7 linked regions of the Xenopus tropicalis genome follow. The protein of the gene in region 4 interacts with the protein of the main gene of each other region in a pairwise test. Links are inferred from orthologs where the notes say so. Each region holds a gene or a part of one and is shown on either strand. Other genes may lie near its edges.

What was found.
Region 1: the proteins of tnik (region 4) and dpysl2 interact in a two-hybrid assay, tested with the Homo sapiens proteins (2 studies listed by BioGRID and IntAct). The link is inferred for Xenopus tropicalis from reciprocal best matches to the Homo sapiens genes TNIK and DPYSL2.
Region 2: the proteins of tnik (region 4) and srgap3 interact in a two-hybrid assay, tested with the Homo sapiens proteins (2 studies listed by BioGRID and IntAct). The link is inferred for Xenopus tropicalis from reciprocal best matches to the Homo sapiens genes TNIK and SRGAP3.
Region 3: the proteins of tnik (region 4) and sptbn1 interact in a two-hybrid assay, tested with the Homo sapiens proteins (2 studies listed by BioGRID and IntAct). The link is inferred for Xenopus tropicalis from reciprocal best matches to the Homo sapiens genes TNIK and SPTBN1.
Region 5: the proteins of tnik (region 4) and ppm1e interact in a two-hybrid assay, tested with the Homo sapiens proteins (2 studies listed by BioGRID and IntAct). The link is inferred for Xenopus tropicalis from reciprocal best matches to the Homo sapiens genes TNIK and PPM1E.
Region 6: the proteins of tnik (region 4) and myt1l interact in a two-hybrid assay, tested with the Homo sapiens proteins (2 studies listed by IntAct). The link is inferred for Xenopus tropicalis from reciprocal best matches to the Homo sapiens genes TNIK and MYT1L.
Region 7: the proteins of tnik (region 4) and agtpbp1 interact in a two-hybrid assay, tested with the Homo sapiens proteins (2 studies listed by BioGRID and IntAct). The link is inferred for Xenopus tropicalis from reciprocal best matches to the Homo sapiens genes TNIK and AGTPBP1.

What each region holds. Positions count from the first base shown.
Region 1 is NC_030679.2:128,068,879-128,073,029, reverse strand, and holds part of dpysl2 (dihydropyrimidinase-related protein 2), read right to left. Parts: intron 1,089-4,151; coding exon 904-1,088; intron 576-903; coding exon 411-575; intron 1-410.
Region 2 is NC_030680.2:131,638,233-131,642,383, reverse strand, and holds part of srgap3 (SLIT-ROBO Rho GTPase-activating protein 3), read left to right. Parts: intron 1-2,504; coding exon 2,505-2,732; intron 2,733-3,955; coding exon 3,956-4,029; intron 4,030-4,151. UniProt on the Homo sapiens protein: GTPase-activating protein for RAC1 and perhaps Cdc42, but not for RhoA small GTPase. May attenuate RAC1 signaling in neurons.
Region 3 is NC_030681.2:24,112,064-24,116,214, reverse strand, and holds part of sptbn1 (spectrin, beta, non-erythrocytic 1), read right to left. Parts: intron 3,794-4,151; coding exon 3,549-3,793; intron 2,377-3,548; coding exon 2,238-2,376; intron 1,894-2,237; coding exon 1,809-1,893; intron 929-1,808; coding exon 732-928; intron 1-731. UniProt on the Homo sapiens protein: Fodrin, which seems to be involved in secretion, interacts with calmodulin in a calcium-dependent manner and is thus candidate for the calcium-dependent movement of the cytoskeleton at the membrane.
Region 4 is NC_030681.2:111,603,921-111,608,071, forward strand, and holds part of tnik (TRAF2 and NCK-interacting protein kinase), read left to right. Parts: intron 1-11; coding exon 12-122; intron 123-598; coding exon 599-685; intron 686-2,781; coding exon 2,782-2,973; intron 2,974-4,151. UniProt on the Homo sapiens protein: Serine/threonine kinase that acts as an essential activator of the Wnt signaling pathway. Recruited to promoters of Wnt target genes and required to activate their expression. May act by phosphorylating TCF4/TCF7L2.
Region 5 is NC_030678.2:95,294,227-95,298,377, forward strand, and holds part of ppm1e (protein phosphatase 1E), read right to left. Parts: intron 1,152-4,151; coding exon 118-1,151; 3' UTR 1-117. UniProt on the Homo sapiens protein: Protein phosphatase that inactivates multifunctional CaM kinases such as CAMK4 and CAMK2. Dephosphorylates and inactivates PAK. May play a role in the inhibition of actin fiber stress breakdown and in morphological changes driven by TNK2/CDC42.
Region 6 is NC_030681.2:134,547,314-134,551,464, forward strand, and holds part of myt1l (myelin transcription factor 1-like protein), read right to left. Parts: intron 2,966-4,151; coding exon 2,882-2,965; intron 1,322-2,881; coding exon 1,100-1,321; intron 1-1,099. UniProt on the Homo sapiens protein: Transcription factor that plays a key role in neuronal differentiation by specifically repressing expression of non-neuronal genes during neuron differentiation.
Region 7 is NC_030677.2:134,720,275-134,725,135, reverse strand, and holds the start of agtpbp1 (cytosolic carboxypeptidase 1), read left to right. Parts: upstream 1-1,716; 5' UTR 1,717-1,750; intron 1,751-1,881; exon of another isoform or gene 1,882-1,993; intron 1,994-4,516; 5' UTR 4,517-4,550; coding exon 4,551-4,582; intron 4,583-4,861. UniProt on the Homo sapiens protein: Metallocarboxypeptidase that mediates protein deglutamylation of tubulin and non-tubulin target proteins.

The sequences.
Region 1 (4,151 bases), on a different chromosome or scaffold from region 4:
TTTTCCTATATGAAGCTGTGTTTATTTTTGGAGAGTTCCTTCAACCCACATTATCTGTTTACAACTGTTTAATGTGGTGGTGGATCTATAATGGCAAGGGCAGCTATCTCATGAGAGTCATTAGGTCTCAGGATTGTTCTGCATGGCTGTATATCAGGCAAGGAATACAAGGCCATTTTACTCAAGCAGGTGCGTCCTATTGTGCAAACACTGATTTTTGTGCACTATTGTGTACATGCTGTAATGTGTAAGGGGCAGTGTTTTGATTATATATGCAGCTGGCATGCAGTAGGTATATGAGTTGGGCACCCCCACGTGGTAAGGCACCCACCCATCTGTTTTATCTGTAATACAATGGGTGGGTTTGCCCTGTCTATTCCATAATTCTGTTATATTCAGCAGCTCCTCACCGTGATCCTTTACAAGAGCCTCCATCTCCTCTTGAACACCCTTGTGCCATTCAGTGATATCGACATGCAAGGAGTAGTCGCAGCATGACTTGGTGTCTGCCCATTCCCGCCACTGATCAAAGGCGCTAAGCAGGCTGGAGCCAGGTTCGGGCACAACATGATCAACTATCAGCATCAAAGGAAAGGAAAAAAAAAGATAAATGAGGCCGTAGGGTTCTATTAATTCAACGCATTCTCACAGCAGACATTTCAGTAGAGAGACACTGGATGATTATTCTAGTATTTTGCACATCTGCTAAAAGGCTGAAATATTCTAAAATTTGGCCAAATCACATTGATCCCAAAGGTCAGCCAAAAAAAGTGAATCTTAAGGGTAGCAGAATGGATTTGTGGGGGAATAATTGGAAGCATCAAGCTACTGAATTCAGTACACTCTGCCGAAGTCTCTCAAGGGGCCTGTTATTAATGCACCCTTCCATAAGCCCCTTCTTACTGATCATCGTGGTGCCCCCTGCCAGCGCTGCCTTGGTTCCTTGGAAGAAGTCATCAGAAGACACCATGCCGTTGCATGGTTTCTGGAAGCAAGTATGGACATCAATGCCGCCCGGGATCACCATCCTACCATGAGCTTCAATGGTCTTCACGCCCCCCGGCACAATCAGGTTTTCGCCAATCTGCCTAAACAGACCCCCGACTACAGGTAAGTAACACAGACCTCACTTACAGGCCAAACAAGCAGAGAGAGTAGAAAACATGAGACCATTACATGAAACACAGAGCGGGTCAGTTACAAGTTACCATCCAGGGATGACAGTGTTGCAGATAAAGCATCAGTGGAATATTCTAACCCCCCTATGTAATAACCGGCACTAAGTTTACCCAGTAGCAGTAACTTAAAGGAGAACTAAACCCTAAAAATGAATATGGCTAGAAATTTCATATTTTATATTATAAATTGGCTGCAGTGGCTTAAAGTTTCAGCATCTCTATAGTAGTAATGATATAGGTCGTTACAGTTGTCACAGGAGCTTCCCATCTTGGAACTGTCCGGGACAGTGCACATGCTCAGTGTGGTCTGAGCAGCTGTTGAGAAGCTGAGCTTAGGGGTTATTGCAAATTAGCAAGCAGTAAATGAGGGTTGTCTGTCATATAAGCTGATGCTACAGGGCTAATTATTAAATTCTGATGCTAATGCCCTGATTTTAGATCTGTCATGTAATGTGAATCTGAATGAATTACTAATCCGCTTTTTACTGTTACATTTATACTCTATTTGTGAAGTATATTTCGAGTCGGTCCCTAAGCTAAGTAACTGACAGCAGCACAGAGCATATGTAGGGAAGCAGCAGAAAATAAGATGGGGAGCTACTGGGGCATATTTAGAGGCACAAATCTTCCCTGCTAAAGGGCTGTGGTTGCCTTGGCTGGTACAGAAACCCAAAACATAATGTACAATATGTCTGCCCTACTTCTTTAGTTAGGCTTTATTTCTCCTTTAAAGCTGCCAATAAGATGTCTGCTTTTAAACAGGTGACCAATAAATCCTACCTGCTGATTGGTTGCTATTGGTTACTGCTCCTGGGAAAACTAAGTGCCTTTTATTACATAAACCCCATTAGAGTCTGCAGCAATCCAGCAGATTCAATATTATCTCAGAACAACCCAGAACATAAACGTCACCATCTTACAACAGGGGAATGAATGGAAACGTAGCCATATCTAAGCACTTTTGCAAATTGCACTACTTTTTCTGTTATCTGTTATCTGAATGAACCCCAGGCTAGAAGGGCCTAATGGGCTGACAGCTTAGCGCTGGCACAATATACAGACTGTGGGAATGCCTGAGGAGTGCTGGGAGTGCCTGCTGGAATGTAGCGCACACAAGTTCCACTGACAGGCTGAGCAATGCGCAATTTAATCATTAGAGTTCCTGCCAGATACTGGCCCTGTGCTCATGTGCTCACGCCTGGAGCTCTAGTTTTGTAATAATTAACCATTTGTTTATGGGCTGTTTTGAATTGGACATTTTGCCAATAACCTGAAAGTTCTTCTATTCTTTCTGCAGTTCTATAACTGACCATAATGATGCTCCTTGCTGTACAGGCCATTTATCTAAATAGGGATGAGAACACTGGCACTGGCATTGTGTGATCCACCTGTACTGAAAAATGCCAGTGCCAGCACTGTCACACATTTTCATTTAAACTGGAGCTGGCATTAGCCAATTTGGCTAAAAACACCTGTGGAGAATATGGCCTTTATTATTATTATTATTATTATTAATAACAATAATAATATGTATTTATAAAGTTCCAACATATTCTGCAGTGCAGTACAAAACGTGGGTTTACACATTGGACCTACAGAATTACATACAAAGTAACAAACCGGTACAAGAAGTGAAGAGGGCCCTGCCCAAAAGAGCTTACAATCTATACTACGGCACTTTGGATAATGGCACACATGGCATTTTCTCCTCGTAGTAAAGCGCTGACAGAAATGGCAGAGTTGGGCCAGAGTAAAGTCATGATCTGTGGGGTTGTGAAAGGGGTGAGGCTCATGGAGAGTGGACATGGGTTTGGGTGGATCATGGGCAAGATTTGGCATAATTATGGAGAGGACAGGGGTTTGGGGAGATCATGGGTAGGATTTGGCATAATTATGGAGAGGACAGGGGTTTGGGTGGATCATGGGTAGGGTTTGGCATAATTGAGGAGTGAACAGGGGTTTGGGTGGATCATGGGTAGGGTTTGGCATAATTGAGGAGTGAACAGGGGTTTGCGTGGATCATGGGTTGAATGTGGCATAATTGGGGAGTTAACAGGGGTTTGGATGGATCATGGGTAGGGTTTGGCATAAATGGGGAGTGAACAGGGGTTTGGGTGGATCATGGGTATTATTTGGAATAATTGGGGAGTGGACAGTAGTTTGGGTGGATCATGGGTAGGGTTTGGCATAACTGGGAAGTAAACAGGGGTTTGGGTGGATCATGGGTATGATTTGGCATAACTGGGGAGTGGACAGGGGTCTGGGGAGATCATGGGTAGGATGTATGTATGTATGTATGTATATCTTTATTTATAAAGCGCTACTTATGTACGCAGCGCTGTACAGTAGGATTTGGCATAATTATGGAGAGGACAGGGGTTTGGGGAGATCATGGGTAAGATTTGGCATAATTATGGAGAGGACAGGGGTTTGGGTGAATCATGGGTAGGGTTTGGCATAATTGAGGAGTGAACAGGGGTTTGGGTGGATCATGGGTAGGGTTTGGCATAATTGAGGAGTGAACAGGGGTTTGCGTGGATCATGGGTTGAATGTGGCATAATTGGGGAGTTAACAGGGGTTTGGATGGATCATGGGTAGGGTTTGGCATAAATGGGGAGTGAACAGGGGTTTGGGTGGATCATGGGTATTATTTGGAATAATTGGGGAGTGGACAGTAGTTTGGGTGGATCATGGGTAGGGTTTGGCATAACTGGGAAGTAAACAGGGGTTTGGGTGGATCATGGGTATGATTTGGCATAACTGGGGAGTGGACAGGGGTTTGGATGGATCATGGGCAGAATTTGGCATAATTGGGGAGTGAACAGGGGTTTGGGTGGATCATGGATCATGGGTAGGGTCTGGCATAATTGGGGAGTGGACAGAGGTTTGGGTGGATCATGGGTAGGATTTGGCATAATTGGGGAGTGGGCAGGGGTTGGGTAGATCATGGGTAACATATTAAGTTGGGTTGA
Region 2 (4,151 bases), on a different chromosome or scaffold from region 4:
CTGATGACCATTTATAAGGATATAATTTATAGAATATTCACGGCTCTTGTGTAGTATAAATAGAATAAACTTTAAAGCTTTAATCTCCGTAGGTTAAAACACTGTCCTATTTCTTTAGCCCCACTAGGAACCAGCTCCATAGGTAACAGAATGCAGTCGGCTCCCAGTGCTTACCAAGGGACATAGCTCTGACTGCACTTTTTCATATTATGAGACATGGGTTGGGGCTTGGATCCAGCTGAAGCTTTTCTTAAAAACCCATAGAGACCAATGCAGTGAGAAAACCTCCATCAGCCCTGAATAATGGGCCTAGCCCTGCACCCCAGCCCAGTAATATGAAATAAAAAAGCTCACAGAAAGAAAATACATAGTACAGGTGTGGGACCTGTTATCCAGAATGCTCGGGACCTGGGGCTTTCCGGATAAGGGATCTTTCCTTAATTTGGATCTCCATACCATAAATCTGCTAAAAATCATTCAAATATTGAATAAACCCAATGGGATTGTTTTGCCTCCAATAAGGATTAATTATATCTTAGTTGGGATCAAGTACAAGGTACTATTTTATTATTACAGAGAAAAAGGAAATCATTTTTAAAAATTAGAATTATTTGCTTATAATGGAGTCTATGGGAGATAACCTTTCCATAATTTGTAACTTTCTGGATAATGGGTTTCCGGATAAGGGATCCTATACCTGTATATCTAATGGTAATGGGCCAGGGGTTTATCCTCGCTGGTCTTTCCCTTAAAGCTCAAGAGTCCAGCTGCCAGTGACAGTGAGCGGAATGGCAGGTTTCCTAGTCAGTTTATATGTACAATTGAACACTATATTGATAGCGACACTACATACACTGCAATGCTGGCCTACGCTCGTAGGTGTAATATTTCCCTGAAGTCAGAGCAACATATTGAGCTGTTTCCAGGGTTATTTTTAGTCTGTAAATTCAGTCTACAATCTGTTTAGTGCTATTCATACAGCGTCTTCAGGAATGCCAAGCCCCTGACATTTTGTTATTAAGGAGAAACCAGATTGCTTGTCTTATTATAATCCCACTCAGCTATAATAGTATAAATGTTTCCATACTGTGACACCAATTTACGGGAGACTGCAGGAAGCTGTTTTTTTAGGGTTCTATTGTTTAGGTGTTTGTGCTGTTTTGTGTAGAGAGATTTAGGGTATTTGCTTTTACTGTAAATGGAGTAAAATGTGTATTGTAATAACTGGGCATAGGGGCAGTTAATGTACTATGTGCTGGCTATGTAATTATAATGGCTGCATGGCAAATACCAGCTCCTGTGGACTCTATTGGGAGGGATCTACAGTATATGACAATTATGATTTTTATTTGGAAACCCATTATCAAGAAAGTTTCCCATTTAAACTAACACTTGTTTATTTCTATGGATTGGCTTTTTTCTGTAATAATGAATATATAGATGTTTTAATAGCCTTAAATGGATTGTTCACCATCAAGTATGTTATAGAAAAATTGGTTCTTAGCAAGTTTTCAATTGGTCTTCATTTTTTATTTGTTATAATTTTTTAAGCTTTTTTGCCTTTCTCTTCTGACTCTTTCCAGCTTTCAAATGGGGGTCACGGACCCGGCAGCCAAAAACTATTGCTCTGTGAGGCTTTAATTGTATTGTTATTGTTACTTTTTATTAATTACCTTTATATTTATGCCCACCCATATTTATATTTCTGTCTCTCTTTCAAATCACTGCCTGATTGCTAGGTTAAATTGGACCCTAGCAACCAGTTTGCTGCTGAAATTCCAAACTGGAGAGCTACTGAAAAAACCCAAAACCCACAAATAATAAAAAATTAAAACCAACTAAAAATTAAATTAAAAGTTAATTTAATGGTGAACAACCCCTTTAAAGCTGCTCCCCAGGTCCCATCTGATCTGGGTAATAATTCCATATCTAAATTCTCAGAAACTCATGCCAGAGGGCTCAGTGTTCTAGATAATGCTCAGTTTGGCATTTACTAATATATATGCTTGCTGGCTCTTACAAAACAGGACCAGGTCCAGAAATGTATATTGGGTATAATGTGTAGCGGTTTCTGCTGCTGTAATATATGTCTGTCTGTGTCAATATATTTTCTGTGTGCAATGTAAAATTTTTTATGTCAGTAATTGGGTGGGACTGTCCACATAATTGGCCCCAGACTGGCAATCTGTGGGTTCTGGGAATGCCAGAGGGGCTGCTGTAAAATTCTATAGACAGTCACTATTTATTGGGCTGGTGGGGGCTGTTTGGGCCTCTGTGTACTTGGAATGCCAGGGACTATTTGGAATCTCAGCCCAGACCTGTAGGCAGTTGCAGAAGACCCACTAATGTGATCTGTGTCCAAGGTTTTTTAGTTCAGCAGTCCTGGTTGCTTGCTTGCCCATAGCTGACCAGGAACTATAAAGGGATCTTTATTTTGCCAGAGTTGATATTTATAATAGTATTTCAGCAGCTCACTGACTTGATCTCAATGAAATTTGCCGCAGTTTATCACAGTACAGCGATGAGAACATGATGGATCCATACAACCTAGCCATCTGTTTTGGACCAACCCTGATGCCTATCCCAGATGGGCAAGATCCTGTGTCTTGCCAAGCACATGTCAATGAGGTCATCAAAACCATCATCATCAGCCACGAATCCATCTTCCCCAGTCATCGTGAGCTGGAGGGGCCGGTATATGAAAAGTGCATGACCGGAGGAGAGGATTACTGGTGAGTACTATTCTTTCATTGTACCCAGGATTAGTCCCGTTATTCATCTCTTGTTCACATGGTAGGACCTGCGCCTTGGATATTTTTAATAAAGGGATTCTGTCATGATTTTTATGGTGTTTATTACTAAATTACACTGTGCACATTGCAAATAATTCATTTTACCATTCAAAATGTTATTCTTGAACCAATAAATGTATTTTTTGTAGTTGTAATATTAGTGTGTAGGCGCTATCTCAGTGCATTGTGCCTGATCCTGTGCCTTCAGAAATAGCCAGCACTTCACAATGGAACTGCTTTCAGATAAGCTATTGTTTCTCCTACTCAGTGTAACTGGAGGAGTCATGGGTCAGATTTAGGTGTTTTACTATTGAGTGCTATTCTCATATCTGCCACTAGGTGGGGAATTGGAGCATTTTTAGCAATACAGGTGTGAGGGAGCTGTTATCTTGTTACGAGAGTGATATCACTCCAACTTGCAGCGTAGCGGTAAAGAGAGACTAAACAAGCACACAAGTACACACAAGCACTTACACAATTACACACAATCACTTACACACAAGTACACACTTACACACAAGCACTGTACACACAAGCACTTTACACACTGCACTTACACATCTGTATAACAGGTGCATTTTACATTAGTTTCTTTTTTTTAGATTTCATTATATGGGCATGATGTATAGAAGCATCAGAAACGGAATCTTTTGCCATTTTGCTTGGCCCCAGGCCAGACTGGACAGTAGGAGGCGCTCCCGTTACACATATATGACATTAGCAAATTAAAATAAAACTCTCATTATCATGATTCCTGCTCTGTGGAAAAATAGCACTGACAGCTCTCATGTTTTTTGAGTGTTCTAACAATGCATTCTGCCGTTGGAAGGTGCTGTCTGTAAGGTTACTATTTTCTGTCTGCTCTATAGGGAATAGAATTATGTTATTTTTGTGTTTATAAAGAAGAATATTCAGTTAAATGGGTTTCATCTCATTTGTTACAGCATTCGTCTGGAAATAGAGATGAGCTTATTACAAATTATATATTACAGTAATTAATTAGTGGTCTCTGATGAAAGGTATAATTAGAGGGCACTGCGTGTACAATGCTTTCCCTTTTATTATTGCTAAAAGCTGATTAACCAATGAGATGCCAGTTGGGTTCAGCCCCACCAATAGTGCAGAAGGATGTTGGATGTAATGGCGCTTATGTTTCATTACAGTGACAGTCCCCACAGTGAGCCGGGTGCTATCGATGAGGGTGACAACGGCACAGAGCCTCACACTAGTGATGAAGGTAAGAGCCTACAATAGGCACCCAACAAAAACTCAACACAAACACCCATTTTCATAGGGTTCCCGTCCCTCTTTGTGGTCTGACATCCAGTCACCTACCAGCTCATAAGGTTGAGGTTTACG
Region 3 (4,151 bases), about 87 Mb from region 4:
GATTTAAAGGTGAGTTATAGCTTTACAGCCTCCTAAAGGTGAGATACCATTTGTTCCCTTTGAAACAGGGGAAAAATATATCAAAATTATATTACTGTGTTATGTAGTATACAGTAATTTGACATGTTTCCATAGATATCCCTGAGTATACTGTATAATATCTGTACCCTTCCACCAAGTGGTGTCTGTATGGGGAGGAGGGAGGCAACAGAAAAAATGTCTACAAATGCTCAGGACAAGAGATTTCATGTAAGGAATCAGCCTGTAGACTGGGATAGTGCCTAAAACTCAGCCCACCAATGAGGCACTGCCTGACAGAGGTAACACCAATGAGAGGCTTGCTAGCCTAACAATAGAGCATGAATCAGTTCACTGTAGGTGATGGCCCACTCTCTAGCACTTCAGTGTTCCCCCAGAAACATGATCCAAACATGGCTTTAAGGTTTTAAAGTCAAATTAGTGACTATGGCCTCAAAATGCTGCTGCATTGGACATGCTCCTGTATGGTTTTCTCATGGGCTTTGTTGGGTTAATATTCTAGTGGCTATAGAAAAATGTGAATTAGGACATGTCAGTGACGGGATTAATGCAGAGTGAGGAATCAGTTTCTCTAACTAAATATAAAACCCCTTTTCTGTTTGTTCCACCATTACGGCAGTCTCCGGGTCATCAGCAGTAAAGCTGCAGCGAGTGGAATTAGTAGACAAGAAAGAAAAGCACAGTGTCAATACCGTAGTGAGCCTTTCCAGAGCAGAAAACCTTTCATCCCAAGTAGCTGCCGATTTCTCAAATGCTTCGTGCCTCTTAATTAGTTTTTCCACTTCGTCTACGCTCTGGCCTATTTCCCGACTCGACAGGTATGGCTCTTGTCCAAACAGCCAGGCTTCTGCAACGCTTGCATCTCTGGAAAACTGGTGCACCTCCAGAACTGGCAGGAGAGAGTGGGGGGCAAGGGGTGACTTATTGGGGAGAGCAACTGTAATTTAACATAGTCTTTGTGCATTGGGTTTATGTATTTACTTGATGTAAAAATCTTCATAAATAACCTGTTGTTTGTATTGATAAACAATTCACTGATATTTTCTCATAGTGTTGCCACAGTTTTTGGCTTTGGTGTGCATGCAGGGGGCAGGACTGATGATATTGGGGTGGGTGGAAAACGGGTGGGGCAGGTGAAGTTTGGGGGGTGGGTCTATGGTGTGTCAATCAGTGATTGGTTGGTCGCCGCACCATTAAACTCCAGATTTTCAGTCCAGTCCTAATTTGGAAATCCTGACAGGCAGCCCTATCTAAACCAGGCTGCCTGGGTGAAACCCGGATAGGTGGCAACACTATTTTCACGCAAAGTAAGTTTTACTCACTCAACTCACACAACTGAGCGCATAAGTAGGTTTAGTGTTTGATGGTCATTAGCAGAATCAGTGATTTCCATATGCCACATTTAGTATCCATAGTGAGTTTCCATACAGCTGCTTTTGAGCGAAGGACTCTGACCCCCAAAATGCCTCTAGCAATAGCACATTCCTTAAAATAACCCAAAGCTACTGTTTAGGTAAAGAAAGTGTCTGTAGCATATTGGTAAATCACACTGCCCTCAATGTGGGGTACAGGGTAGTCAGTACTACCCCATTAAAGCAAGGAACTCATGTTCATTACTATACTTATTTCTATTCCAAATAGTGAGATTGTTGCAGATTCCATTTCTGAATTCTCATTACCCTAGGGCTGATGTGGAACAAACAAATGTTTGGCAGACAGTGCTTATATGGCTAACATGGTCTCAGCAATAGCCTCACACATCCACTTACTTAGTCGCAGCCATTCCCATCGATCTTCCCACTTGTCAATCATTTCTTTTCTCTTCTCAGTCAGCTGCAGCAGTTTCTCCTTAATCTGGAATAGGGTGAGAAAAGGTTACCCAGACACCCATAAGGAACTCAACTGTAAATGGCTCCATTTTAATTAAAATCTATACTTATAGCAATGAAATACTCAGAAATACAAGAATGTATAGATGAGAGACAGACAGAGAAAGTCAGGTAACATTAGAGTTATTTATTATGGCTTCAGTAGTATCAATGCTTTATGGGGTTATTGTATTCCTGGATCAGCTTCTCACAATATAAGAAACATATGAAGGGATGAGCCACGCCTGGCTTCTGACTAAGGGCTTTTGGCTTTGGGACAGTATGCATAGATCTGCATTGCAGCTGAGTGCTACATTACATTTCTCTTACCTCTTCAGATGCATAGTGCTTTCTTGCCAAGAGAGACTTCCCAAGCTCAATACATGTAGTAAAGCTGTCATTGCGGGCATCGATCTCTGCCTTGATGCCCTGGTGATTGTTCATCAGTAATTCTACTGAGGAAACATCCCTGCACAAAGAATATTCACAACGAGTTTATCAATATGGAGTGTACATTGGTATATTCCTATGTAGGATATTCCCTCAGGCATATGGAGAAGCCCATTCCCATTATATTAATGCTACAGTATTTGGTGGCATTCCCTAAGACTTTGCTCCTCTTTACCTGCATTCAAACTATTTTCTTACAGGGGTTGTTCACCTTTGGGTTAACTTTTAGTCTGATTTAGAGAGTATTATTCTGAGACAATCTGCAATTAGTCTTAAATTTTTATTATTTGCGCTTTTTGGATAATTTTGCTTTTTGTTCAGCAACTCTCCAGTTTGAAATTTCAGTAGTTATTTGGTTGCTAGGTTTGGTTACTAGGGTTCAACTTCCCTTAGCAACCAGGAAGTGGATTGAATGAGAAACAGATATATTTATATCTAATAAATGATGAAGACCATCTGAAAATTTATATCTAATAAATGACGAAGACCATCTAAAAATTTGCTTAGAACTGGCCATTCTATGACATACTAAAAGTTAATCTGAAGGTGAACCACCCCTTTAAACCTCCCCTGCACTGTTCTATTCCACACCTCATGTATCATTATGGTTCCCACCCTATATACTAAGCTCTCACAGCCAGGGTCCTCTGGCCTCATGCCTTGATTTGTACCCACATTTGTTTTGTTTCTGCCATACTGTTTGTGGCAGGCTCAGGTAATTGGTTAAACACCCTTTAATGAGGGAAAAAGAAAAAGATAAATTTATTAAACACTGAATTTTAAAAACAGTAACCTGCCTAAGCCAACCAAGACTTTGCGTTTTTCTATACTGTGTCTGTGCACTGGAAATATGCTCTGTGGGCAATTCAAATTCTAAACTCACACATGTTTTTGTTAATTCTGGAATGCAAAACAAAATGTCTTTAATAGATAGCATGACTATGCTGGCTCTACAGGGAGTTTAGCTAGCAATCCTACAAACAATCCTTAAGGTTTTCACTGCAGCCTTTATTAATGTATATGGAAGGACAGATTATATTAATGAACAGATTCCATAATGTGTATATATGTATAGTGAAATTATATGAAATCACATTACTGGAATGCAAGCAGCAGTTTATAGTAAGGATTAGTTAGAATGGGTTTCTGTATAATTAACCCACTGGAGATAATTGGGCAAGCTGACCATACCTTGGCTTCTCTTGGGCCTCGATCTGACGGATCACATCTTCCATCCACAACATGAGATCACGCACCATGCTGAAGAAGCGGAACTTGTCCCCTGTGTCGACCAGTCGCAGCCTTCGCCCATCGCATGCATCCAGTAATGCTTTCCATGCCTCCAGCACCTCACTCTCTCGCTTCTGGATATCATCGGCTTTGTCTCCGGCATAAGCAGCCTGCAGTCGGGCAGCATCTTCCTGAAGTTGCCTAACCTGTGGGTTTAAAAAGAACCTTTTAGCTAAACTTGGACCGATTACCTTAAGGGGTAATTTACCTTTAAATTAACTTTCAGTATGTTGTAGACCAGTGATCCCCAACCAGTGACTCGGGGGCAACATATTGCTCACCAATCCCTTGGGTGTTGCTCTCAGTGCCCCCAAACCTGATGGTAGTTATATTGGAATTCCTGACTTGGGGGCAAGTTCTGGTTGAATAAAAACAAGATTTACTACCAAATAAAGCCCCCTGTAAGCTGATAGTGTGCATAGAGGCTGCCTAAAAGCCAATCGTAGCCCTTATTTGGCTCCTCCATGAACTTTTATGGTGCTTGTGTTGCTCTATAAGTCTTTC
Region 4 (4,151 bases):
TTTATGAACAGCAGCAAAGAAGGGAAAAAGAAATGAGAAAGCAACAGGAGAGAGACCAAAGACGGCGGTATGAGGAGCAGATGCGCAGGGAGGAAGAACGAAGGCGAGCAGAACATGAGAAGGTTGGCCAATGTAGGATGCTCCACTGATACGCTCAGTGGCAGCTGACCCAAATGTATTTCTTTGTCAACAAAATGCAGTAGTTTTTTCCCATCACTTCATTTTATCAGTAACGTTCTACAGGTAAAGTAAGTTATGTGTATGGATTCCTTCAAGGAGAGAATATGCAGCAGAATACTGTATACCACTTTCTGATGCTATTATGGACACTTTAATGATGGCACTGATTAAGAACTGAGAACACAATTTACACTTGGCATTTCCCATCAAATACTAAATAAATTATATGTACAAACACTGGGCAGCATTGTATAAATGTATGGTTTAACATGAATTTATCTCTCTAACTGGTGTACTCTCTGCTCTGAATACCCGCTATGTTTCTTTCTTGGTAATTGGTGTCTAAGGTACTAACAATTCTTTTGCTCAATCACTTCTTTCTCCTCGTTTCTTTCTCTTTCACTGCTGCACAACCCAGGAATACATAAGGCGACAATTAGAGGAGGAGCAGAGGCAGTTAGAGATATTGCAACAGCAGTTACTGCAGGAGCAAGCTCTACTTCTGGTAATGGGAGTCATTCCCCAGTTCATTCCTGCCATTGTGTGTTGCATTACCTACTACTTCTTGGTCATATGTCCAAAGTTCTCATCTTTCAGAACAAGTGCCTTGCATGTTGTTGCACTCATTAAAATACTTTGTACCAATATGTTTCATTAAAAATAATACAGAGAGGATCTTCTTCATATTAAAATAGGTTTTCATGATTTGGAACTAAAGGGTTTTTTTCGCATTAGATTTTTACAATACATTTGTGTCTTTTTTTTTTCCTATAAATGTGATAGCATGCCAGAGTGCCATAATCCTTTCAGGGAGAGTCACGGTGATCTAAATGCCCCTGTACTAATCACTATTCTTCCAGAGTATAGTGGCCATTTAATGAATTATAAATTCAGGCATTTTCACTTTCTGCTAACATTTGTACTACTGCAACATTTGCTTAATATATTTCCTTAAATGGTCAGGTCACCCGATAATGACAGATGAATAGAACAATAAAATATATTCGTAACAACTCAAATCTAAACTCGAGATTAGTCCGCTTTTTGGTTGTCAATGATCCAAACAAGCATAATATATATATATAATATGCAGAAATGGGATTGTCTTCTGCATGTTGTCTTTTTGTTTGGTGATTGCTCCTCCATGCTCCTATTATATATAGTGATAACACAAACAAACTATATACAAATATACAAACCAAATATATTAAATATAGTGAGAAGGATTGGTTCCTCACAGCACAGACCCCTTCACCCTTCAAAAAGCAGGTTATCTGAAGCTTGGAGAAAGCAGGTTTCAATGCCGTATATATCAAAATGAAGTCAGAAATTATTTGCATTGCTAAAAATGCTCCCATGCGCTACGTAGTGGTAGTTATGAGAATAGTATCCAAGCAGGAGAAATAGGAAGCCAAGTTGGGAAATAATTTTGAATATTACAAACCATAGCTTATCTGAAAGCAGTTTTATTGTTTAGTGCAGGCTCAGGCACAATGACCCTAGATGTCTGCCTACATATTACTACTAAAAATACATTATTGGTTCAATAATGACATTTCTTAAAAGTGAAAATGAATTATTTGCAATGTAAACAGTGTAATTTAGTGAAAAAACTATGCCATAAAAATCACTTTAATAAAGTAGGGCCAGGCTAACAGATTTGCAACTAAAGGCAAATGAATCATGTCTAGAAATAAGTTTATTCCTTGCGCATTGCCATTGCATGTAATTATGGCTTGTAAAGCCTTGGCCTGCAAGGTAATGGAATGCTGTGTAGCCTTTTGTTCAGCAAAGCTGTCAGTTGCTGTTGTGCCTCACAAACCCACACCTTTGTTCTCATGAAGCAGAATTATGGCTGTTGTGCTCCCTAGGAGAGCTGTGCTCGCTTTAGGCTTTGCAGAATTAGCATTGAGCAAAAGGACTAAGGATGCTTCAGTGGTTCTTGCATAGCCGCGTATGACTTGGCGGGTTGTTCATATGCCGTAGGCACACCATTCCTCTGCCAACAACAGCAATTATCATAGATGGGAAGTCAGTGGGACAAACTTATTATACGTATCCAGCTGAAATCACCTTCTTTGATATCAAAGACTGTTACCATCCTGTTACGTCATTAAAACGATTTGTGAAACAAAATGTTCTTTTTTCCTGTTTATTTAAACCCACATAACATCCCAGTTTTACTTACAATGGAAATAATGTAGCTGGTTTTAAATAAGCCTTTATTAAAAACCAAGTCGTGAATTGAAAACGTTTTAACTTCACCTTTTAAGATAACACCCTTAAAGAATTTCTTATGCTTTATTGGAGAGGCCACTTTTTTGTTTATGTTGGAGCAAGTCTGAGTGTAGTTTGCTTTCCAGGCTAACTTGCCACTGTTTTTGCATTTTCTCCACAAAGTTCAGATTCCTACCTTTTAAATACTTTCTTTTTATTTTCACTTGACATCCTATAATAAGGTCAAACATCTTGGCATTCTATTTTGTGGAGAAAAACAAACCTATTCAGAAAAGTCTCTGGTGGGTTGGTTGCAACAATTAGAAATGGGCCAAAGAGTCAACATCTGCCTTGTGACTGATTTTTACCTACCTTTCCTTAAAGGAGTATAAGCGTAAGCAGTTGGAAGAACAGAGACAAGCAGAGCGACTTCAGAGACAGCTTCAGCAAGAGCGAGATTACCTAGTTTCTCTCCAGCAACAACAACAGCAGCAACAGAGGTCATCTGAGAAGAAACCACTCTATCATTACAAAGAAGGGCTAAACCCTGCAGAGAAACCAGCATGGGCAAAAGAGGTATGGCAGCCATTGTGCCCCAACTGGGCTAACAGAACTCAGCATGAAATAGTAACATAATTGCTTGACCGATTGGGTGTATTTCAAGTATTAATAATTTTTGAATGTTTCATCAATGTTTATTCTTTAATAACAGGCTGGGTAGGATTCAGTGTGACTGTAACTTACACAGCTCCAAACCTAGAATGTAGGCTGACATCATGTACTGCAGATACTGGTTAGTATTAAAGTGCTGAAAATACTCCCTCTGTCCACTGGGGAGCGCTGGGTACCTCTGTAAGATTAAATTCTCGTTGGACATCAATTACAACTTGCTGTATTTGATTTAATGGCCATGAAGAATACAAATGAACATTTTAAAGCTGATGAATGTGAATTAAATATTTTAGATTATTTCTAGTAGCATCCGAAAGGTAAGGAAAGTATTTAACCTAAACAAAGCCTTGTGGGGGGAGGGTCATTGTGTTCATATATCAGAAGTTTTGCTTTTAGCTTTTTGATGTTGGCGTTAGGGTTGACTGATGGTAGCTCAATGAGTTCCTTATACCTAACCATCCTTGGATCTTTGCATCTGTAGTATGCCATAGGGTCCACTTGATTTTTAAATGTATACTTGGGGGAGTAAATGCTTCAAGTCCCTGCTTGGGTATATATAGCAGAGGTCAATGAAGAAGGCAGATCCTAGCAAGGTTATGAGGAATTACTCCTTCCAAAACCCTTGAATACGTTTTATTTGAAGGAAAAATAAGATAGTCTCTGTGGAATATTATTTCTTAATCAGGAGTTGAAGAGATGAAAGGACAATTTTTTTTTTTTTATAAATGCCAAAATATTTTACATTTTAGAAAAATTGTGATGCAGTCACAAGTGAATAAACCCTCTCATTATAAGTGTTCTGAATAGGAGTCCTCTGTATTTATTATTTTAAATTATCTCCTCCCTTCACTCTTTGATTTATGTCCTCTTTACGTAGATGAAAAAGTGGGACATTGTTATTTTGTAGTTATTAATAGTTATCCAGCAATCACACAGTTATTCTGTAATCATCCAGCAGAGATGTTTTCCTAAGTAGGAAAGGAAGGATGTGAATATTAGAGAGCATTTATGACTGAACAGATATTTTTTGGCTCATGTTTTTTATGTGAATTTTTTTTACTAATGTCTTGTTAGTTATAAGT
Region 5 (4,151 bases), on a different chromosome or scaffold from region 4:
CTGCATGGGGTGAGATCAATACACTAAGTTATGAAAAGAATGCCATTTAAATCTAGGTCTATCTAACCTAATTCACTGGAACACTACAATTATATAACTCACAAGGTTTGTAGATTTTTACATTTTATAGCTTCTATGTAGATCTGCCAGTGCTATACAGTTGCTCTCTCTTAACAATGCTCTATTCACCAGAGTATCTTGATGACTACCTTTCCTACATCTTACAGAGCTATGCATTGATACCCTATTTTTAACAACACTTTGCATGGGCACATTTTGAACTTTGTAACAAGGCTTTTGGGAAGAGCGAAGCTGTGAAAACTTTGGTTTTGCCTTAGTCCCTCCTCTCCTCTTTCTGAAATGTAAGGGAGCTAAATGAAAGGGGGCCTTCATCATGGCTTCCAAACATTTATCTTTTAAATCCCAAGAAGGACAAAGTGAACCCTCCTTTCTGGGCATTAAAATATCAATACATCCCAATCCTTGACTGCTGGAAACGCCTTCACGAAAGCCTTTTTCTAAATAAAATGAAGACCCTTCTAAAAGCTCTTTCCTTCCACTGGCTCTCTTTGGTGAGCTAGCACTGGTCACTTGGGAGCATGGTAAACATTTGGCACTACGCGGTTTGCCATCACCCCCCTGCAATGGGTTTAGATAGTCTTGCTCTTCTAGAACTTTTACTTCAGGGCCAAGACTCAAGCTAGTTCTGTCTGTGAAGGAATCGCGCCCATCATAGCCTCCAAGATCAGCCGGCGCTGAGCACTGGTGAAGAGGCCACGATCCTTTACAATCTCCTTGGTTCTCTTTATCATCTCCATTGTCTTCTTGACCACCGTCAAAAGAGTTCTCAGTTTGGTTATTTTCTTGCTCAGTTGCAGTTGTCGTGTTCAGGTCCCTGAGAAATACCACAATCACGGTGATGTTATCACTTGAGCCAGCATCACGAGCAGATGCCACCAACTTATGGGCAACCATGCTACTATCTCCGTTGTTCTCTTTCAGATGGTCAGACACCACTTTTACAGCTTCATCAGGGTTGACTGTATCATAGAATCCATCACATGCCAGAATGAGGTAATCTTCAGAGCCATCAAGGACAGTGGAGACAGAATCAGCATCTCCACAAATATATGGCTTGTGCTCTGCATCCCCTGTTTACAAAAAAAAAAAAAAAAAAAGAAAAACAAAACCCTAAGGGTGTTTTCTTAAATTTTATCTCTAAATACTTGTTGTCAGAAATTTCTTATATTTTGAATTATTATAATAAAAGCAACATATACTCTGCTTTAATTTGTGCCTTCCTTAATTTGAGACCCGCAACTGCAAAAACATTTTTTGGGCATTTCATTGCTAAAAAATAGACTGAAAGCCAATGTGCAAGGGTGACCAGATCACTTGAAAACTCAGGGACGCTTTTTTTGGGGTTTTTTTTCTCAAAAAAAAACAGCTAGCAGGGCTGAACTGACTGCAGTTTGTTTAAAGGAGAAGGAAAGGTAAAACTAAGTAACCTTTATCAGAAAGGTCTATGTAAATACAGCCATAAGCACTCTCAGAAACGCTGCACTGACTTCTCTGTCAAAAGATTTCTTGTGTCTGTAATTCATGTGCCAGAGACACGTAGCTTTCTGCTCTCTCCCCTCTCCTGCTCCCCCCTCCCTCAAGAATGCTAAAAACTCACCCCCCCTTAGGAATGTGGATCTGAGCCAATCAGCAGAAAGCTGACTCATAGTCTAACTGAGCATGTTCACTTTGTCTGGGTTTCTGTGCAGGAGCAAGGCATTATGGGAACTTTCTTTACACAGCTCAGCCTTTATTCTTCCTGTTTGGCTTCTGATCATCTGAACAGGTGAAATATGGGGAGACTTAAGGGCACTATTGAGACAACTGAAGGTATGCCTGCAGCTTGAGATTAACTCTTTATTAGCCTTTCCTTCCCCTTTAAAATGCAATCAGTGCTTCCCTGCAACATGTATTTATTAGATTGTGGATTTGTGCGAGGGAAGATCGCCGTATCACCGTATTTGAAATGACCGGATGCAAAGTTTTACAAGGTATTTTCTAATAAAGCTTTCAGAATAATAAACGCTGGGAAGGATAGGACAATTATTGGAGCAGGGTAGAATAGATTTTTTACTTAAAAAAATTTAGTGTTACTTTTCCTTTAATGCAGTTATTTTTCCAGTGTGAAAAGTATGTTCCACAATACCCTGTTGTTTTTTTTATTAAAGGAGACATACAGTTGCAAGAAAAAGTATGTGAACCCTTTGGAATTATATGGATTTCTGCACAAATTGGTCATAAAAAGTGATCTGATCTTCATCTAAGTCACAACTATAGACAATCACAGTCTGATTAACCCTTTCACTGCCAGCCATTTTGAACAAAATGGAACTTCTACTGACAGACAGTTTTTGAACATTTTGCACTGTTTGACTTTAGGGGCTTTTCCTCGGGGGGACTTTTAGTTTACCCAGGAAAACTATATATCTTTTTTCAGGACAACCTAAGCTTTCAAAATATGGTGGAATTTCTGTGTAATTCCAATTCTGTAACAAGATATAGGCTTCTAGATGTCTAAAAAATGAAAAAAAAAATATTTTCCATAATATAAACACATACACCAGAAACAAAAATTATTTTATGCATGAAAATACAACTGATTTGGAAAGTCCCATGTCTCCTGAATGTGCCAATACCAAATATATATAGTTTTATGGAGATTTCTCACTTGTATAGGTCAAAAACTCCCAGCAGTACACTACCAAATTTCCAAAGCCCTGTTTCAGAAAGCTGCATACTTTAAAATTTCAAGGCCAAAAATTCCACTAACAGAAGGTTTATCCCAGAAAATTGTACATTTTTAGAAAGAACAGATTCTGGGGAATACAGAATAGGCACAACTGTCTGTCTTCTCCAAACTACCAAGTTGCAATGCTTTCCTAAAGTTATTGGTTTTTATCAAAATTTGTGAAATTTCTTAAAAATCGCTTCAAAGCTTCCTGTCTATAGTATCTTATCTCCTACAGGACATAAAGTAACCAGATAAAACACCCTAAATATGAATGCCTGGGGTCCACTGAATGGTTTGATGCCCAATATGTATAGGTTTACTTAAGTATGTGGCATGTAGGGGCCCCAATGGGAACATACCCCCATATGATCTATCATTTCTGTCATTTCAGCTCCTGCAATATCAACAAATTTACATCATTTATGTAGGATAAAGCTAGTAAAAAGTACATTCACCCCAGAAAGTCATATATTTTTGGAAAGTACACATTCCCCGAAATCTAAAATGGGTACCCATGTCTTTCTACTCCAAAGTACCAAGCCACAAAGGTTTGCTGATTTTATTACATTTCCAAAAATCACCTCAAAACTTCCAATATGCAGCATCTTATTTTCTATAGGTACCAAGGTAAAACACCCTAAATATGAACACCCCAGAGGTCTACTGAACAGTTTAATGCCCACTGTACATAGGTTTATCAAAGCACATGGCACTTAGAGACCCCAAAATATACCTTGTGCACACTAATTTCATGGCTTACCTTTACCTAATTCATAGACACATGGCAGTTTTATGTGGGATAGAAACTGCAGAAATGTAGGGTGACCCCCTGAAAATCATATATTTTTGGAAAGTACACAATCTGTCAAATCCAACATGGGTAAAGAGTCCTTTCTACACCAAAGTACCAGTCTGCAAAGCTTTCCTAAAGCTAGTGGTTTCTATGACATTTCAGAAAATCGCCTAAAAATGCAGCAATTTGCCGCATTTATCTCACACACTTATCTTGCATACAAAGGCAAATCACCCCAAATAGTAACACCAGAGGCCTACTGAACAGTTTGATGCCCTATTATAGATTTATCAAACTATGCAGAGTACAGGGGCACCCAAATAAAAATAGGGTATATGAATTTTCACATATGATGCTCCTGCTAGTGCAGTTTTTGCACCCGGTATGTGTATTATGTCCCATAAGACCCCCTAACAGTATGGAGACCCTAGAAAACCTTACATTTTCCGAAAGTACACATTCTGACAAAACAAAAATGGGTAAATACATCTTTCTACTGCAAACTACCAAACTACAAAGCTATGCTAAACAGAACGGTGTCTATGACATTTCTGAAAATCGTCACAA
Region 6 (4,151 bases), about 23 Mb from region 4:
CTATGGGGCAGGGACCTCCATCCTCTTGTGTCTTTGACTCTTAACTTATTGCAACTGTATCTTGTATTTATTTGTACTTATCGTTTGTAAATACTTTGTATTTATTTATTTTAATACCCCTGTTTATATTAATGTATTCTACTGTACAGCGCTGCGTACATAAGTAGCGCTTTATAAATAAAGTTATACATACATACATACATACATGAGGGGATGAGGAAGAGTCTACGAAGTTTTAGAAAAATAAAACCCCAGGAAAGCTTAAAGTACAGGCATTTTTAAAACAAATTAATCAAGGCTGAAAGGAGCTAATTATACATTTATATCTTAATATCGGAATTGAATGAATAGGTTTGCTCCTCTTCATATAACAAGATCCTTATATTTCTTCTATTGTTCTATTCCTTCTAGTTCTTCTCTTTTGTCCTTCTTTTCTACCGTAACCCCTTGTTTTTGCTTTACTTGGTTTCCACTTTTTATTCAAGAAAACTTCGGATGGCTTTGGAAAACAAAGCACCATGTATGTGCGGTGACTAGTATATAGCATAGAGACTTCATGGTTACAATATCTGTAGCATGTAGTAAAATGTTATAAATATATAAAAACACCCTTTGTATCTGATGGTGATAAACATTTCATGTAGCTGCATAACAGTTAGTCATTTTAGTTAGTAGAATTTTTTTGTCATTAAACATTTTTTCTAGGATGGATTGAGTGGATCAGCATCTGTAGTACTGTTACTGTTTATTGGCTATGCTCAAGAGCTAAAAATGTTCAGTTGATATATGAACTGAAATGACCAACTGGGAGAGTGGTATAAAACACATGCTCTACCCTTATCAACCAAACAGTGGTTAGAATTAACTGGTTTACTGCACTTGAGATGAAAGGAAACATTCAGATGACCTGTCCAAAATGTAGATGTCTAATGAATGGGATTTAGTGGTGGAAATGTTACAAAAATTTGCAAGATGAAATTAAGGCACCATTCATTTATTTGCTTATAAAATGGTGCATAATGCCTGATCTTTTCAATTCATTCATAAAATGAATGAAAGTCAGTTTATTGCATGGTTTAATTGCAGTCGTGTGACATACCTGCGATGTGTAAGAAAACTACCACTGATATGTCCAGAGCCATCACATCCAGGAGTGGGACATGACATGCCCTCTGTCTTTCCAGATTTCCAGGAGAATTGAGATCCATTTAAATAGCCATCTTTCTGTCTCTTAGCTGCTAGCGGACACCCAGAAGCACTACGATGTGAGGCGTACTTTCCAGTGACGTGGCCTTGTCCATCACATCCAGGCACTGGACACCTGCATAGTGTAGAGAAAAGATTTGTTCAACATTTACATGAATATCCTGGAGCAAAAGATACTCAATTTTCATGTTTAAAATTCAAATTACAAAGTTGTATTTGTAGAGTTATATTTGTCTTGGTCAACCACTGAGCCAGTTTCAAAATGTTCCTTAGTACAAAGTAAAAGACTTAGTATCTCACTGTACAGGCTATGTGAAAAACCCAAGGATTCTTTCTGCTAATGCTACACCTGGAGTGTGCCTCCAATTATGTCATACAGGCTTAAATGACACAATAGACCTTGCCCCCAGCTAGCTTCTTGTAAGGAGATTATAAGCCAACGGGAAGGTTATGGCGGGTGATAAGGAATGTTGTAGCAGAGACAGCTTGAGAAAAATTGAGTCTCAGCAGGAAGACTGAAACAGCAGGTAGGATAACTTCACAGAAGCAAGGGGAAAGGGATTTATATTATTGCAATAAGAAATAATTTAACCTGTTGACTGATAAAGTATATGAAGGCTGCCCAAGAAATGACACTATGCTAAGGAAATGTACCGCTGTGATGTCTAACAGAAAGAAGTATATTTCTTGTTGCTTAGCTTTATTAATTAACCCAAGCTACAGATTAGCTTAAGCTATGATGGAATAGTTTGCTAGGTTCATACCCTCAAAGTAGATTTCGTCAAATCTAAAGGCTGTGGCACACGGGGAGATTAGTCGCCCGCAACAAATCTCCCTTGTCGCGGGCGACTAATCTCCCCGATATGCCATGCCACCGGCGAGAATGTAAATCACCGGTGGGGTGGTAAAGTTGCCTTGAGAGGAAACTTCTGCGGTTTTGGCATCGCGTATGCCATCCCTCCGGTGATTTATATTCTCGCCGGTGGGATAGCATTTTGGGGAGATTAGTCGCCCGCAACAAATCTCCCTTGTCACGGGCGACTAATCTCCCTGTCTGTCATGGCCCTAAACAATCTACAGAGACTGCTTGGAGGGTAACACCTATGGGTTCATTATCTGACCCAAAAGTCAGGCTTATACTGTTGGGTACCGATACAGCTAACTGGCACAATCGGCACACTTTGGGAATCCATGTGCAGGTATCCCAGATCTCAAGCAAGCGTGGTCTTATTGGAAGCATAAGTCTGGTGTCTTCCAGTGAAAAGCATATCACTCTCCCTGATGGAACTTTGTTTGGGTAATAGAGAGTTTTGAGATGGGAGGGTTGAAAAAGATAACGGAGAGGAATAAGGATATTGTGAATGCCATAAGAAACAGGATATTGGGGATGACACAATAGAGAGGAGTAAGGATATGGTGTAATGTGTTACACTCAACAGTATATGTACAAAATAAGAACAGCTATGGGGAGATGCACTACAGGAGGGTTAAAATGGTAACAAATAATATTGATAATTTAACTACATATATGAAGCAGATTCTAAAGAGTCTAGCTAAATGTACATGACAATAGACTAGTGGCAGCCAATATAGACAGATTAGGCATATGTAGCCACAGAAATGTACGCAGTGTTAAAAGTTACAGCTCTTTACAAGATGATCATTGTTAGTTAACCTAATTGGTTCTTGATCTTCTTTATCCTCCTTGCTTTGTGCTATCTTGATGCCACTTTTCTTTGCTCTTGGACAACCTGAAAGACTAATTAGAAAAGAGAAGACATTTCAGCCCAGGAAAAAAGGAGCAATTACTGAAGTGACATGCACTGAATATTGTGTGGGACAAGTTTGAAAGAAAAAAGTGGGAAAATGATACCTTTCTCTTATTATAAATAAATGTAATTCCTCACCATTTAATCTAAACGCAGGGCAATAGCTGTGGGTGATGGGAATTTACTTGTAAAACTACTTCAATCAGTTTAGGATTTCTAATTCTAAAACTACGCACAAGGATGAACCATCACAGACATACGATTAAGGCCAAAGCGTGTGATACACCGGTGGGTCAAAAGGGATTCTGGGAACAAATTCCTTAAGGATCTTAGAAAAATCCCATTTACATGGGTTTATCCTATAGGCTAAACCTCACCCACTGGGTTTTCAAAGCAGAAGCCAGGATAATAGCTGATCAGATTCCCAACTACAGACCGGTTTCGCCCTTCTTGGGGCTCATCAGTGTAGTGCAGGGTTTTCTGATAAGCTTAGGTAGAGCCAGGAGTGGGACAGCACTTCTGCAATCAGGACCACAGGCTTCAGGACATGAAGGTGTTAATTCTAAAAGGGAACTTTGGAACTGAATGAGAAAGGAAGATCTATGAATTCAAATGTATGGAGTTATTCAACACATTAAGACAGGGCCTCAATTTGGGGTCAGGTTTCATGTCACACTATCTGACCTGACTGAATCCAGGCCCCTGGACTATTTACAACCCACCCTAATAAACATTAATTATTATCTTCACAAGTTATCTCTATCTATCTGTAACTTCCTAATTTGTTGCTCGTGAACACTTCTCTCTGATCTATCAGTATAAATGTTGTGCCATTCCAGTTTTCATTTGTATTTTGCCTGATGAAGGGGCCTTAGGGCCGGAAAGCTTGCAATGTATTTTTATTGTTAGCCAATATAGGTATCATTTCTACAATACTCTCATATTTGAGTTTTTTTTATGAATTCTTCTGTAAAAATTCTTTAATGTGAGCCAGTGGGTTCCTATTTCTGTTGTACAAACAGTGATAAAAGAAAAATTGGGACCATTGATCCTATTCAAACAAATACCCCAAGACAATTCTATAGCAAAGAAAAGTGAATTTTAGTTTATTAATTGAATTACCAAACCTTTTAAAAAAAATCTTATTTTTTGTAAATTGTTTATTGTTTGGGAATC
Region 7 (4,861 bases), on a different chromosome or scaffold from region 4:
TGTCTGTGTTGTAAAGCCACACATCACCCTGTAACTAAATAGTGTTGTTTACTTCTTGTGGCATACATACCATCTGTTAGGTCTTGTCACCTTTGAAATTCATACCCAAGTTCTGGCTTACTAAAAAGGTATATTTGTGAAAAGAACTGCTTATTCTACAAAGCAACAACAGCTGCTGGAGATGTGAAACAGAGGTGGAAAACTAAGAATATATTTGTTTGCTGTGCCCAGTAACCCCCTTCTGGGACCAGGCAAAACAGATATGTGAGACATACTATAACAGGGGGCCAGAGAGCACTAAGCCCTTTAACCAGGGGCGGGCCAAGCCAACCGGGCGCCCTAGGCAACCCGGTCAGCCAACTCGGCCCACCTCCCCGCCCCCCCCAACCCGAACGGCGCATGCGCGCCAAAGCACAGGAGAAGGTGCAGGGGGGGCGGAGCGATTAGATCGGTCATTGCCTCCACTGCTAATGACAAGCGGCGGAGGCAATGACAAAGTAGCACTAGGGGTAGGCAGGAGAGGCTCCTGCCTGGCGCCCCTTAATCGTTGCACCCTAGGCAGCTGCCTCTTCTGCCTACCCCTAGTTCCGGCCCTGCCTTTAACAATCCCACTATTTTACTAGTTCGAACCAATGATCCTACTATTAAATGTAAACCTATTCTGCAGTGTTGTACTCTACTAAAGGGGAGTGCCTACTTCTGCTATTAGTAGCAGCTAAAGCAATGATTCTCCTGCATTAGAAAAACAAACCCTCCATAAAATGCTGATGTGACCTAACATGTATGCGTGACCTTGGTTTGTTTGTGTGCACTGTAAATCTTATTATCGCCTGGGGTGGCCCCTAGCAATTAAAAATGGCAATTTTCTATCTAGGATTACCCAGTGGCACATACTACTAAGAGTATATCCTTATGAAAAAGAGCAGGAAACAATTAAGACGCAGGTATCAGGTCAGTTTCTCTCCCTGATCCATAGTCGGCTGTGAGGGATCCTTGGCTGCTAAGGGACACCCTGAGGATACGGATACTTTGCCAGGCTACTCTCCGCAGGGAGGCCGTGCTGGTTGGTGGTCCTTACCCTCCCCACCCTCGGCTGAGGTGGGCTATACGGGTGGACACCATATTTTTCTACCTTCTGTACAATTACCTGATATCTCCTCTGTGTGAGTATATTGTAATAACCCTGCATATTGATTGTCTGACAATAAACCAATTCTATTTTACAACTGCAAGAACCTTCTGGCGCCCATTTGTTACTCTGCACTGCACACAGTTACAGTGTCACTAGCGGTGCTGTTGGCTTGGTTACAGCCAAGAAGGGGTTACACAAACAACAGCAACAAAACAAAAAAGATTCCTGGTGGAACCACTTTGCTTTTCGGTCAAAACGCTCTCTTTCATAAAGTTCACCAGCACAGAGTTGGGATTCTGAGCAGCAACTATAAATGACTTCTGAGGAAAATTGCGAGTTGATGAGGCCATGGCGGTCAACCAACACGAAAGAAATATCTTTATTTTTTTTCTAACAGAGAGAAAGGTAAAAAAGACTGGAAGCTGAACTACCGCAGACAGGTAGCAGCTTCCGACTGTGTAACGCTAAGATGCGCCGACGCGTCGCTCCCACAAGGCGGCTACTGTGTCACTGCGCTGAGTTGTTGTGACGCCATTCTCGCGCGATGAGACTTGCAGTGTTAGGATTTTCTGTGAGACAGGAGGCTGGGAGCCTGCAGTTGACAGCTTTGCAGGAGGGGTAAGTGGTGATGCGGGCTTGCTGGCTATGGTAGGAAAAGCATTTGTTGGACAGTATGTATTTACTTGGATTACGGGGTCTTGTTCTGTCAGTGAGCTGCAGAATTCGGTAGGGAGGGTGGTGGCTGAACACAGATGTATTTGCTGTCCCTGCTATCCCTATACTAATGCATGGATGTTTTCAGTGTTACAATGAGTCGTCATGGAGCAAGTGTCTTCTAAGTGGCTGGCTGACTGAGGGAAGGTAACCCACTTCGTACTGTATGGGGGGCTTTGGGGTGCAGCAAACAGGTGCAGGGGAACCCTGATAGTGATCATGTTTGCATTGTGTGTGGCTTGTGGTGCTTGTCAGTGTTGTTGCTTAATGCTCAGTGTAGATGTGAGTTGGCTACGTCCCCATTTGTAGCAAATTACACAATAGTTTTAAATACTTGCACGAGACTGTTCACGTACAAGGGCCATTAATTACAAATACATAGCCACAAACGATATTTATTCCCTTTGCGATTCTGTTCTGCAGTAATACAATATGGAATTGGCTAAGTTTTCTTTTTTTTTTTTTTTTTTAGACAAAACACACACACAACATATAAAGCATCTTTTAACTGCACATAGAATGGGTTTTGTGCAGAAAATATTGGGTTATTTCATTAGGGGAAATTTGCCTTATAAGAAGACAGTGTTTCAATACATTATTTGTAAGTACATAGCGGTAGGTTTTGAAATGGTAAGGTTTCACTTTCTCTGTCTGTCCCACTGATTATACTTTTATTAATATTTGTTTCAGTATGTGTATGTTTGCTGCTCTTGGTTAAGTGCAGAGATCTTACAATGTATAAAAAATATTGTTGTTCCTGCTTTGGATAGGATATTTGTCAGACAGAGGACACTTTCTATTTTAGGGTAACTTTTGAAGCTGAGAAGTGATTTTGATGACATGATGCTTGGTCTGAAGGGGCAGAATCGGCAGCTTAAATGTCCTTGTGTATGGCCAGCATTAGAAGTTAGATGTTTATCAGCACTTTCCAAACAGTTGTTGCTGCAGAACTACAAATTAAATTTCTGGCTTCTTTATGGCAGGTTGTTTAATATTGCCTCATTTTGTTTCTTTGAACAAACACATTAGTGATGTGTGGGCTGGGCCGAAGGCCGTGGATCGGGTGGGTTAGGAACTTTAGCAGGTTGTGGACAGACCAAACTCTGCCCATGGCCCACCCTGCCAGGTGGGTTGTGTCTAGTGTGGTTATATGAATAATGACGGTGCATCGGGTTAGGGTTTAAAATGTCTTTTTTTCCAACCTATACATCACTACTCTGCATGGCGCTTGTATGTATGTATATATGTATATCTTTATTTATAAAGCGCTACTTATGTACGCAGCGCTGTACAGTAGAATTCATTAATACAGACAGGGGGGTTAAAGATAATGGATAAATACAAAGTACAACAATAAATACAATAAATACAAAGTGCAGTTGCAATAAGAGTCAGAAACACAAGATGAAGGAGGTCCCTGCCCCGTAGAGCTTACAAGCTATATGGGAGGGGTAACTAACAGACACAAATAGGCAAATATAAGTGCTTGTGTAGTGTTTCCAACATACCATGCCTTATAGTACTTAAAAGGGCACTATACCTATGATTTAACATGAATAGGGCATGTGCTGAACATTGTGCTTCAGTGTAAAAATTCTAAATAAATAGATGCCAGAGACCCAGATACAATACCCAAATATAGGTATTTCTTGGTGAAGTTCCTGAGTGTGCCTGAATTGTTGTTCTGACTTGATCTTCCAGTTTCCTGACTTTCTGCTTTTATTCTGGCTCTGATTGATGGATGCCTGCCCTGACCTTTGCCTGAATATGATCTTGAGTTTTTTTTAACCCCATTGGATATGACTCTTTGAACTCAGCTTCCTCATTGGTCCAGACTTCTGAGGCCCTTGGGCCTTGACAAGGGTTTGAGTACTGTTACTCTAATTATCTACCTTTCAAGGCCAAACAAGCAGTAGCTTCAGTTTTCCTGACTGCTCTGTTTAGATCAAGAAATAACAAGAAACATAGATTTTTAGTGATTACCCTATTAGCCCTATTCATTGAACTTATGTTGAATAGGATGTTATACTGCAGCTTTGACACATCAGTTCAAATTATCTAAATCATGTCAAACGATAAGTTGCATTGGGTCAAGTACTACTTCTTCACTGAATGGGTAGGGATCTAGTTAATTTGACATCACCCATAACCACAAAGGATTTGTTTATACAACCAAGAGCAGAAATGTGCCGGTTCATAATACTAAAAATTGAAGGAATGTGCTGAGTAAAGTTGTTTCGGGCTGGCCTATTGAAACATTTTTCAAAAGCCTATCAGCTAGTCAGCTGCCTCCTTTCTCAGGCTGTGCAGGGCGGCACTCAGCACTTATTGTAGCTAGGCTGACCTGATGGGGAACTGAGGCCTGTCTTTGCTTGTGTGACTGCAGGGCTACGATTGGCTACCCCTTCCTACTTTGCTTTTGGATGCATCCGTTAGGACACGCCCACACCTTATGTAAAACACAATCAGGGTTAATAGCAGATATGTAGATAGCTTCAATAAATAGGCTGTTTTTAAAGATACTGATAATGTTTAGCCCAGAGTGAAACCACCACCATATAGTATTCATTATTGCCTACAAAACCTTTAATTATTCCCAAGAAAACTATGACTATATGTTAGTTCCATTGTTATCTAACTTTGTTTGAACAATCTTGTAATTGTTTTCAGGAAGTGAAATGATAAAATTAATGACTTCTTCAAGATGAGTAAAGCAAAAGCAACAGCAGACAAATGGTGAGTTCTAAATGATTATTTTTTTCATGCTCATTTTATTGTTTTTTTTAAATGTAGCGTAATGGAGTAATACGTATGATTTTTTTTCTAAATTGGACTGTATCTGGAAAATAACCTTATTTAGTAAGCTATGTGAGTCTAAAACCAACTGCCAACATACCCAAAAACAACATAGACCCATGGGATGTATTGCATCTTCAAAAATGGTGTTTCTATAAATAACCAATGTATTAAAACTCCTAACAGTATTTCAGTGACCTATTTGAAGTTTACTTGGCA